Callithrix jacchus: one gene and its partners. The protein of the gene in region 1 purifies or fractionates together with the protein of each later gene. This does not show direct contact. Links are inferred from orthologs where the notes say so. Each region holds a gene or a part of one and is shown on either strand. Other genes may lie near its edges. The genes, in order: JOSD2, AHCYL1 and AHCYL2.

Region 1 (4,240 bases):
ATTTCCCTGAGGCCCTGAGCCTCCCCTGCTCACAGGCCTCCCATGGCTCCCCAGCGCCCCTGGACAAAGTCCCCATCCCTTGGCCAGTCCCTTCCTCTGTCTGTCAAGACCCACCTCAGATGTCACATCCTCTGAGAGGAGCCTCCTGACCTCCAGGCTGAGTCAAGGCCCTCTCTGGGCTGCCCCAGTGAACTGAGCACCTCAATGATGACAGCTGCCCGGATCACCCTGACTGAACACTGCCTGCTCCTCCCACGGGGCAGCCCTGCCCTTCCCCTGGTCACAGCCCACTCTGCTGCCTCACTTCCCCCAGGACAGACTCCCACGAGGTCCTGCGTGGTCTGGACCTGGTGGCCTTACCTCAGAGCCTTAGCCCCCTTCTTCCTGGCCCTGTCCCCACCCACATCCCCTGTAGGGCACGCCCCGCCCAAGAAGGCTCTTCTGCCAGCCAACACTTGCATCTTTGGGCCCTGCCTCTGAACCGCTGCACATCTGTTCCCTATCTGGGCCCTGGGAGAGCAGGGCACGGGACGAAAAAGCTCCTGTGTGTGTGTTTCCCTCGCCTCCCTCAGGCCAGCACTCGTGTATCAGTCATCTCAGGGTCTCCAGCATGGCTTTGGCATGAAAGAGCTGATGGGTCCTTGTTCTGAATGACAGAGATGAATATACCCCATAATAATCAGTCTGAGACTCAGGCTATCCGGGAGCCGAAGGAGGCTTCGAGCAAGGCGCAGAGGAGGCAGGGCTATCTCTGGGTGTAGAAAGACCCTCTAGTGTCATGTGGGGACTGAGGGAGGGGACAGACTGGCGGTCACAGGCAGGCTGGGCAGGAGAGGGTCAGGCCTGAGCTAGGGCCAAGGACATGGGGACAGAGAGGAGGGAGTGAGATGATAAAGGCATATGTTTGTTTGAGACAGGGTCTTGCTCTGTTGCCTGGCTCACTGAAACCTCTGTCTCCCAGGTTCAAGCAATTCTCCAGAGTAGCTGGGACTACAGGTGTGTACCACCATGCCCAGCTAATGTTTTTTAAATTTTTTTAGTAGAGATAGGGTTTCACCCTGTTGGCCAGGGCGGTCTCAAACTCCTGACCTTAAGTGATCCACCCACCTTGGCCTCCCAAAGTGCTGGGATTCCAGGAGTGAGCCACCATGCCTGGCTAAGGAGTGATGTTTGACATGGTGAATAGTGAAGAGGAACATTCCAGGCTGGCAGGGAAGGCAGCCACGCCAGGCAGAAAGAAGTACTTGGAGGCCCAGAGGCCACACAGTGGGGCCTCCAGGGGAGTGGAGTGAAGTCTGGTTTGAGGGGGTCTGATGGCTGAAGCTGCAGAGGCAGGCTCAGCCTCTGCTACGAGGAGGGCCCTGAGCAGGGCGGGGCATGTTTAGGATGGACTGGAGAGCTGTGACAGGGCCCAGATAAGAGACCCTGAAGCTGGGTGAGCCTGTAATCACAGCTCCTGGGGAGGCTGAGGTGGGAGGATCACTTAAGCTTGGGAGCTCGAGGCCAGCCGAGCAGCACAGCAAGACTGTCTCTAAAAAAACGAAAGAACCACCGGATTGAGGCCTGGCTGGGGCTGAAGCCACAGGGACAGACAGGCACAGGAGGCAACATCTCCCCAGTGTCTAGCTTAGGCAAGTGAGCAGGGTGGGGGCAGAAGAAAGGCCCCCAGGCTCAGCGCGCCTGCCTGCTGCTCCAGGGGCTGGGGTGGGTGACGGTCACCTCTTGCAGATCTCATCGGCAGCCTCCTGGCTAAAGAGCTGCTGCTGCAGAACGTTGTTGAGGGCGTGGACGGCACACAGCTCCAGGCGCTGCCGTTCGTGGTACACAGAGGGCGGACTCGGCTGTGCTCCCGGGGCCTGGGACATGCCGTCCTTGGCTCCTGCTGGGGGTTGGGAGGGGGAGAAGGTCCTCAGGGGCCTGGTATCTAGAGGTTCAACCTCCCAGCAGGCCTTTGGGGCATCGCCATTGATTGAGCTGGGGCTCGGGACAGTCCGGGAGGACCCCGGGCCCCTGATCCTGCTCCCTGGCAGTCTCCTGGCAGTACACGTTCCTCCATCCCCTATTCCTATTCCTACGAAAAAGGCTGTCTCTTCAGCTCCCTTAGCAACAGAGAACCACCCCCACCACGTCTCTAAGTAACAGGGTCCCTAACATGCTCACCTAGCAACAGAGGAACCCTCCTCCCCTGTCCCTAGGTAACCGGGGCGCTCTGTGGTTACCTAGCAACACAGCCCCCGTCCCACCGCACTAGGTAACAGTCTGTCCTCCGAGCACCTAGCAATAGAGGGTCCTCCTCCTCTGTCTCTAGGTGATAGGGTCCCCTCTGGTCTCCTAGCAACAGAAGACTCCCTTCCCTGGTCAGGAAGCAGCCAGGCTCTCTGCTCTTGTCACTTGGCAACGGGGGGGGGGCCCTCTCCCCAGTCACTAAGCAACAGGAGTACCTCTTCCCATCTCCCGGCAACCAGGCCCCGTCCCCGGACACCAAGGAATGGAGCCCTTCACCGACCCGCAGCCCAACCACGGCGCTCGCCCTTTGCCTGGCAACGCCCCTCACCCCGCCAGCCTCTCCACTCCACCGAGCCAGGGGCTTCCGCATCCCCCTCCTGGGCGGCGGATCTGGGCTCCCAGTGCGGGGCGGGCAGCGCTGCGCTGACTGGGCAGGAGGGACGGACTACAGCTCCCGGCGGTCCCCGCACGCCGGACTGCTACTCCCGTGGGTCCCCGCGGGACGCTTGCTCCACAAGGAACGCCCAGGGCGCGTAGCCCTGAGGTCCGCTGTCGGGCCCAGAAAACGCCGCACTACAACTTTGGTCGGGCCCCGCGGCAAGTCCCGGAAGTGCGCCTCAGAGGCCATTCCCTCGCGTACGGCCGCGCCCACTGCCGCGCAGAGATTCTGGGAAATATAGTGGGTAGGCTCTCGCGATAGCTTCCTGGCTCCGCGCTGTCGCGGGTGCTCGCCCCTTGTGATGGCGTCCTGCGCGGTGCGTAGACGCAGCGTGACGTCACACAAGGGAAACAGGACCAGAGACGCCAGGCGGCGGAGCTGCGGGCATCTGTGATCTTTACTGAGTTAGAAGGGAGATCCTGGGGAAGTGGAGCAGGGCAGGAGAGGGAGGCCAGTCAGATGATCTCGTCTCGGGAGGGAGAGGCTTCTCAGCAGAGATGGATCCCCGGCCTGGAGGGGAGCTGGCAGCAGGCTGCGGGGAGAGAGGGGAATGAGCTACTGAGAGAGGAGAGATGAGAGGCAGTGGTGAGAGAAAGGGACAGGCCAGGGCGGCGGTGGAGGAAGACCCCCAAGAAAGCAAGACAGAGCCCTGGGGGTGGACAGAGACACACACACACACACACACACACATACACACACACAGTACCAGACAGAGGCGGGCACAGAGACTCAAGAGAGGAGACACGGACAGAGATGGAGACATCTACAGTGCCAGGATTCAAAGTCGTGGAGAGAGAGGGTTAAGGAAATAAAGGTCGGAAGTAAAGGTCAACAAGGACAGAACCAGAACTGCAGAACTAGCCAGGGCCTGGGACCCCACCCTCTGCAGACACAGGAGCCCAGGGCTGGGGGAGCGGAGCCTGGCCGCACCCAGGAGGCTCCACCAGAAGGCCGTGACGGTGGCAGAGCCGGTGACCGCGCCTCGCTCTGCAGGGTTCTCTCTGCGGGTGTGCACAGCAAAGCTTCGGCCCGTGGGGCCCGGGGGTCCGCTCAGCTCCACGTCCACCACGTGCATGTCCGTGAGGCTGGGGCAAGCAGGGCGGTCAGTCTGGTTACCCTGGACTTGGCCCAACCCCCTGCTCAGCTCTGCTCACCTGAGATCAGCCACAAGCACCCCAATCACCCCATCGAAGCCCAGGCTGGGGGCAGCCAGGGCAGCGGCCGCCATGGTGTTGGAGTTTCGGGGGGCAAAGGGGCAGAGCCCACGGACAGGGCCTTCATAGAGCACAGTGCGATGCCCGGTGCTGTGGGCTGCAGCCAGGGGTCCCTCCAGCCGGAAGCCATCGGGGTGTGTGGCCATGGTGACACGCAGGCTCTGGAAGCAAGAGCCCGGGTCAGGGGGTGTAGGGTCTTGGCAGGCCCCCTCCGGTTCCTCGGGAGCCCAGCAGACCCGAACCTGGAGGCCCCCAGCTGCATCCAATCTCCTGATGTCCTCAGTGCCCCACAGAGCCCCTCGGGCCACAAACACGGCATGGTTCCAGTGGTTCGAGGCCTCCAAGAGCTGCCGCTCTGTGG
Region 2 (3,648 bases), on another chromosome or scaffold:
TGTGCTCAAGGAATAGAGAAAGAAAGAAACGGCACAAAAGACAAGCAGCTCTATTGTTAGCACTGGGAAAGCCTGTCAAAATGATCAACTTTAAAAAGCAGTTTCACATAAAAGCCAAAAAAGCCAACAGACATGCAAGAAGACATACAGCAACCATTCCTTACCTCTCAAATCACTTCGTTCCTCTCTGAATTGAGCGCTTTCCTCATCACTGTTTCTGCTCGTATACCTGGTCTCTCTCACTGACTGACTTCTATATACAGGTCCTCCTCCTGTCCAGCTAACACAAATACTACTAAAGATTACCTTCCGGCCAGGTGCAGTGGCTTATGCCTGTAATCCCAGCACTTCGGGAGGCCGAGGCAGGCGGATCAAGAGGTCAAGAGATTGAGACCATCCTGGCCAACATGATGAAACCCTGTCTCTACTAAAAAGACAAAAATTAGCTAGGTGTGGTGGCATGCGCCTGTAGTCCCAGCTACTTGGAAGGTTGAGGCAGGAGAATCTCTTGAACAAAGGAGGCAGAGGTTGCAATGAGCTGCCATTACACCACTGCACTCCACCTGGGCAACAGAGAGAGACTCTGTCTTTAAAAAAAAAAAAAAAAATATCTTCCCCACTGTAACAATTTAACCACATCACTAGGCTTTTTAAAAGGCTCTAATACATTTCTGCAACATGGCCATCAAGATCTTTGAAGACTTTTTAAAAGCCTTCTTCAGTCATTTTATCATTCTTCCTCTCATAACTGAACTTTTCACGATGTTTCTTCTTTCTTAGCTACAATTAGCCTGCTTGTCACCCACCTCTTTTTATCTGTCACTCCAAGATCATATATAATGGCTTTTCATTTATGTTAATCCTTAATGTTAATAACACAATGCAAAAGGTATTCTGGCAAAGGACAATGAATGGCTTTTGGTACAAATATCTCTGCTGATCATTAATAGCAATCTGTAACCTGTAATCTTTTTAACAGTGAGTTTTCAGTTAAACAATGACAAGGTTTTACTGGATGCCCCATTAGATATCCCTGATGTTTTCTCCTATATTCAGTTGCCAAGATTCTATATTCTTTTCTATGCTAATTTTCTAATACATGCTCTATAGTTGGGAAGGACACAATATGAATCAGAAAAAGACTTTACTTATAGAGAGTTAAGATAGGAGGAGAGGACTAAGAAGAAACAGAGCTGGAGTCACATTATAGTAGAGTCTGAATCTTTCCTACTTCAGAGGCTAACAGGGGAGGATATTACAACAGAAGGAATAACCTCGTAAATAAAAGGAGCCAAAATACTAACTATGATCTAAGCAGTTATTGTTACAATCTAAGTAGTCTTGGGGACAAGAAAGAAAAAGATAGGGGGCAGGGTATATTTTATACAAAGAAATCGTGCTTCAAAATGCACTTCGTTTTCAAGGCCAATTCTGTCAGCCAAAATAGCATTGATTTCTTCCCTTTGAAATGTGGGCAGCTCAATGTGGGAATGGGAACTAGCCCAGTCCTACCAACTGGGCACTGGCCACAGACCACACACATAGACGGCCAGGGGGAAGAAAGTCTCGCGTCAACAAAAGCTTCCCCAGCTACTAGCCTGAATGCAGAACATTCCCACTGCTCAGCCACTAACTGTTTTCAGCACAATGGTGGGCAGTCATAACAGGAGGTATTTCCAGGCTGGTAAGTGAAGAGCACAGGTAGCAAACAGGGAAGAGAGATTCAAGAGGTCATGGAGTTTATTCACATCTACCTGAACTGTAGCTATCAGTAGAGGACTGTGAGATGGAGCGAGACAAAGATCTTCGGCCAGTTTTGGTGGGGAATTTGGTGAACTCCTGCATGTCATCAGCAAACTGGATTTGCTATACAAAAGAAAGACAAAAAGTTGAAAACTTGTAAGGAAATTCCATGAAATGTTCCATTTTTTAAACTGTCTTTCCTAAAAGCCAATGTTATCACATGGCTCCTACTAAGCCAGCACTTTCCCACCAGAAACAGGGGAAGGCAAGGCTACTCTCTTGACTTCTCCCAAAACATCAATCACTTTCTCCTCCCAATTATTTCTGCAGGATTTGGAAGGAGGGGCTAAGATTAAGCCCAACTTCTTTTAGTATTTGTCCAATTTTATAAACCTTTCTCACATTCCATAAAGTTTTCCTCCCTCTTATAACCCTGACATGTTAAACTCTTTGCCCCCTTCCCAAATCTTTCAGAAAACAGAATCTCATAGTGTTACTGGGTTTTTTTGGTTTTTGTTTTCAGAATATTCTCTGGTAGCATATTCCTAAAGTTGGCAATGGTCTTGCTTTCTGAAAGAATTATGAAGAGATGCCTAGAAATGATGATGGGCATTAAGGTGCCAGTACTCAGAGCCCAACCATATGTCTATACTTCACAAAGCCAAGGTACTATCCCCAAAACCTTCTATCCTAGTAAAAAATTTAAAATACCAGAATGATAAAGAAAAATTGAAAAACCCGCATACACTATAGTCAATTCTAACTCATTAGGACTAATATGAATGAAGGAGAAAATAATGACTTGGTAAACTTCGTATTAAAAAATACCTTAAATGAAATAAACCAGAACTAGATAATTCTTTGAAGGATACTTGGAAAACTGGCTCTAATCAACAGCAAATAGCTGGTAATTAATATTAATTATAGATTTATACAGTATGTAACACTTTTATTACATGGTTTAAATCTGCTGAACTCCTGTTTAAACTCTGACAAACCCCCTTCAAAATAAAATAAACTTCACCATCCTGAAATAAGCAGGATGGCTTGAGAATCTCAACTGAGATTCTGTTCACAGTCTGACTAAATTTGAAAAGGTTCCCATGGAGAATCCATTAAGCTAAGCCTTTAGCGAATACTTCAGAAATGTAAACAACTACAGATTAAAATCTTCTCTGCATAATACTGGCAACATGGTTATAGCCATTTTAAAGCCAGGAACAGTAAACTACCCATTAGTTACAGCTGCAAAAGCTTCCCCTCCTCTTTCACATGTACTCTTCAGCTAGGAGAGCACCAGACTGCAGTGTAAGAATCGGGTTTAAGGGGGCAGCCTAGGCATACGCAGCTAACATAAATAAATTAAAAACTGAATTAGCAGGACTCCACAGGTAATAAGGCAGTAATCAAGGGAACACAAGTCTAGCACAGTTCACACCAAGAATGAAAGCAGAGACCAGCCATGTAGTAATAGCCATGCATACTATGAGTACCAGGCCTAAGAGAAAACCCTGTGGGTATTTCTATTTAAAATTTAACCAGGCAAGTTTTCGTTAGCCTACTCTGTGAAATAAGGAGGGGACAGAGGACAGATCCTGTTTAATTAAATCTAGGAACACATCCTAAAGGCATGGAAGGGAAAGAGCTACCTATGCTGGCACCCAGCCCAGGTTCTTAAACATGTAGGAAGGCATTCAATGAATGCCTGTAGAATGAGTCATCGTTTCAAAATCCTTTCTTGTGTTTCCACACAATTAGGATATGGTTCAAAAAGGGAAAGAAAGAAAGACTTTCTCGTGTAAGATAAATCAATCAAGTTTCAAAGATAAATAAGAAAGTAAATAAAGACTCAAGCCAAACCACATATACTGCACCGGAGCTTGACTAACAAATATCTTTATACAT
Region 3 (3,648 bases), on another chromosome or scaffold:
AGAGAATCAGAGAGGTGAAGCTGGAGCCCTGAGATCCTGCATCTGAAGTCTGCCTTCCCTTTGGACTTTCTGCTATGTACTGTGATAAATTCCTTTATGTGGCATAACTTTTATTACAGTCTATTGTTATAATTGCTCTCTTTTATTTTGAGTTATTATTATTCATTTCTTATAGTGCCTAATTTATAGCTGCCTCTCAGTATCCTCAGGGGATTGATTCCAGGACTCCCATGATACCAAAATCTGAGGATACTCAAGTCCCTTATATAAAATGATGCAGTGTTTGCATATAACCTGTGCACATCCTTCTGTGTGTGTGTATATATATATATATATGTGTGTGTGTGTGTATATATATATGTGTGTGTGTGTATATATATATGTGTGTGTGTATATATATGTGCGTGTGTATATGTGTGTGTGTATATATATGTGTGTGTGTGTATATATGTGTGTGTGTATATATATGTGCATGTGTATGTGTGTGTATATATATGTGCATGTGTATATATGTGTGTGTGTATATATGTGTGCATGTGTATATGTGTGTGTGTATATATGTGCGTGTGTATATGTGTGTGTGTATATATATGTGCGTGTGTATATATGTGTGTGTGTGTATATATATGTATATATACACATGTATATATACACACATATATATATATATATATTTGAGACAGGGTTTCACTCTTGTTGCCCAGACTGGAGTGCAATGGCATGATCTCAGCTCACTGAAAACTCTGCCTCCTGGGTTCAAGCGATTCTCTTGCCTCAGCCTCCTGAGTAGTTGGGACTATAGGCATGCACCACCACACCCAGCTAATTTTGTATTTTTAGGAGAGACAGGATTTTTCCATGTTGGTCAGTCTGGTCTTAAACTCCCGACCTCAGGTGATCTGCCCACCTCAACCTCCCAAAGTGCTGGGATTACAGGTGTGAGCCACTGTGCCCAGCCCCTTCTGTATATTTTAAAGCATCTCTAGGTTATTTATAATACCTAATATGGTATAAATGCTACATAAATAGTTGTTATATTTCTTATCTTTTTTTATTGTTGTATTATTTTATTTTCTGAATATTTTGATCTGCAATTGGTCAAATCCTCAGGAAGGACTGGTGTGCACCGGAGGCCCAATTGCATAAATTAAACTTAATCATAGGTATATATGTATAGGAAAAAACATAGTATACATAGGGTTAGGTACTGTCTAAAATTTCAGGTGTCCACTGGGGGGTCTTGAAACTTATCCCCCACAGACAAGGTAGGGAGACTACTGTATATTGAAGTTAAAATCTTGACTCCGTGATTTCTAGCTATGTAACCTTAAACAAATATTTTAAGTCCTCTGAGCCTCAGCTTCTTTGTTTACAAAATGGAAACAATACCTGCTTTATATGGCCATTATAAGGATTAATGCGCTAATACTTGCTAAGCTCTTAACTCAGTACTTGGCATGTTGTAAGCTTTCAGTAGCTCGTGGCTATTATTAACTATTCTTATTAAAAGGAGAAAGGAAAAGAACTCACAGCAGTCTGAGCAGTGATGTGTGTGCAACCCACGATTTTGGCTCCAGCCAAAGGCTTTTCTCCTTGAGCTCTCTTCCTCAAAGCCATCAGTGCAGGCATTTCTGAAAAGGCCCAATATATAAACAACAATATTAAACAGGAGGGAATAAGAGATAAAAGAACAAACAGAAAAACTTACTTTCTTAAGATCCTTCCCCTCAAGGGATCAAGACATTAAACCTGAATTTTCCTTTATAAAAAACTTTTAGAGACAAATGTTTCAGGGTTCTGAGTCTCTATATTCTAGTCATTATCCAGTCTCTGTCCTTTTTTTTTTTTTTTTTTTTTTAATGATTTTTGTTGTTGTTGTTGAGATGAAGTCTCACTTGTGTTGCCCAGGTGGGAGTGCAATGGCACGATCTGGGCTCACTACAACCTCTGCCTCCTGGGTTCAAGCGATTCTCCTACCTCAGTCTCCCGAGTAGCTGGGATTACAAGCGTGTACCACCATGCCCAGCTAATTTTTATATTTTTAGTAGAGATGGAGTTTCACCATGTTAGCCAGACTGGTCTTGAACTCCTGACCTCAGGTGATCCGCCTGCCTCAGACTCCCAAAGTGCTGGGATTAAAGGTGCGAGCCACCGTGCCTGGCCTCTCTTTATTTTTTATTTTTATTTATTTATTTTTTTGCCAATCAGTTTGAGCTTATAAGGTTGCTCAGGTTAGCCTTGAGCTCATGACCTCGCCTTCGCAAGCGCCACGACCTCCGGCGGGAGCCACTTTGGACCCCCTTTTTTTTAATATAGGGTTCCTTGTAGACTTGTCAGAGTTCCTCAGTGTTTCCTGAGCTCATATTTATTTTGTTTTAAGTACTCTTCATTATCACATAGAAATTTCACAAGCTACCAGACCCCAGACATAAGGGATTAATATGGACAAAAAGACACAGGCAGGCTGAGAAGGAAAATGTGCTTGTTTTCTTTACCTTGTTCAGCAATTTCAATTTCTCTTCGTCCGAACTCTGCTTGTTTGATGTTCTTGACACAGAAGTCACTGCTTCCCTTAGAGTTCTTTTGCTGCTTGTCCCTGGGGGATGTCTCATCATCAGAGCTATCTGTATATGAAGCCGCTGGAATGACAGAATAAAAAACTCTCAGGGGGAAAAAATGCTTCCTCTAAAATTCTGGATCATGGAGTGAACTGAAGTTTCTCTAGCCAGCTAGCACCATATAAATTTTTTACCTCTGGTAAGCACCTACATGCTAAACACAGGCCAGAAGAGGGAAGCTGAAAGAGACTGCCAAAGACATTCTCCCTGGATAGCCTTAACTTGAAATCTAGGGCTAACTTTATCTTCAGAACATGCAGAGGTCCTTGAATTCGCAAAAAAGAGAGAGGTTACACAACAGTAGCTTTAGGTGAAAATCATGGTCATTAACCTGTGGGTTTTGGGGATTCTAGCTACTCTGCTCTGTGTGCTGCCTAAGTATTTGATATAATTTGTGTTTTAGTGAAATTACTGAATAGATAAGACCTAGAAAACAAGGAACCCACGGGAAAGTAATTAAGAACCACACAAAAAGTATTTGTCTGACATAATAGAGCTTTCTTTTTTAAGACTGACTCTGATGAAGCTGAATTGTGCCTGCAGACCCAATTATACATCGACAATGAAGTATTCAATGTGCTCTCCCTTCTTGCTGGCCTCAGTGGGTGCTGTGCATTTTAGGCTCTCAAAGAAGTAAATAAATCCTCTTTTGGTACAAAAAAATGCTCTGATAACGAATCCATTTAGCAACATACCCTAGAGCGTGAAAGGTCTAAAACTTTATTGTGGCTATAACAGGCAGCTGCTGCTATTGCTATTCACATGCTTAGCTGAGGTCTTTAGTCTTCATAGAGTTCTGTAGTTGCTAACCATTTGCTAGATTATTTGAAGCAGTGTCCTTCCCTGATTTGTGTTTGAGTTTCTGAAGATAGTTCCCTAACCCCCAAGTTTTCTTAGGGGTTAAGAAACACTCTCTAGAAAATGCTTCTCTCAGTGGAGTAAGTACTGCCATCACTTTTAAGGGTGGAAAACTGTGAAAGGTCAGAGTGCCTAGGATCCGTGATGCTCTGATCTACTTATATCCAGAGAA

Evidence for each region.
Region 2: the proteins of JOSD2 (region 1) and AHCYL1 purify together in Homo sapiens (affinity purification with mass spectrometry; 4 studies listed by BioGRID and IntAct, counting the BioPlex papers as one, with this or other methods). This does not show direct contact. The link is inferred for Callithrix jacchus from reciprocal best matches to the Homo sapiens genes JOSD2 and AHCYL1.
Region 3: the proteins of JOSD2 (region 1) and AHCYL2 purify together in Homo sapiens (affinity purification with mass spectrometry; 3 studies listed by BioGRID and IntAct, counting the BioPlex papers as one, with this or other methods). This does not show direct contact. The link is inferred for Callithrix jacchus from reciprocal best matches to the Homo sapiens genes JOSD2 and AHCYL2.

What each region holds. Positions count from the first base shown.
Region 1 is NC_133523.1:44,162,135-44,166,374, forward strand, and holds the start of JOSD2 (josephin-2), read right to left. Parts: upstream 2,873-4,240; 5' UTR 2,452-2,872; coding exon 2,442-2,451; intron 1,883-2,441; coding exon 1,720-1,882; intron 1-1,719. Other genes in the region: ASPDH (aspartate dehydrogenase domain-containing protein), read right to left, coding at 3,063-3,197, 3,546-3,750, 3,820-4,240. UniProt on the Homo sapiens protein: Cleaves 'Lys-63'-linked poly-ubiquitin chains, and with lesser efficiency 'Lys-48'-linked poly-ubiquitin chains (in vitro). May act as a deubiquitinating enzyme.
Region 2 is NC_133508.1:147,856,904-147,860,551, reverse strand, and holds part of AHCYL1 (S-adenosylhomocysteine hydrolase-like protein 1), read right to left. Parts: intron 1,867-3,648; coding exon 1,755-1,866; intron 1-1,754. UniProt on the Homo sapiens protein: Multifaceted cellular regulator which coordinates several essential cellular functions including regulation of epithelial HCO3(-) and fluid secretion, mRNA processing and DNA replication.
Region 3 is NC_133512.1:117,813,503-117,817,150, forward strand, and holds part of AHCYL2 (adenosylhomocysteinase 3), read right to left. Parts: intron 2,640-3,648; coding exon 2,496-2,639; intron 1,632-2,495; coding exon 1,531-1,631; intron 1-1,530. UniProt on the Homo sapiens protein: May regulate the electrogenic sodium/bicarbonate cotransporter SLC4A4 activity and Mg(2+)-sensitivity. On the contrary of its homolog AHCYL1, does not regulate ITPR1 sensitivity to inositol 1,4,5-trisphosphate.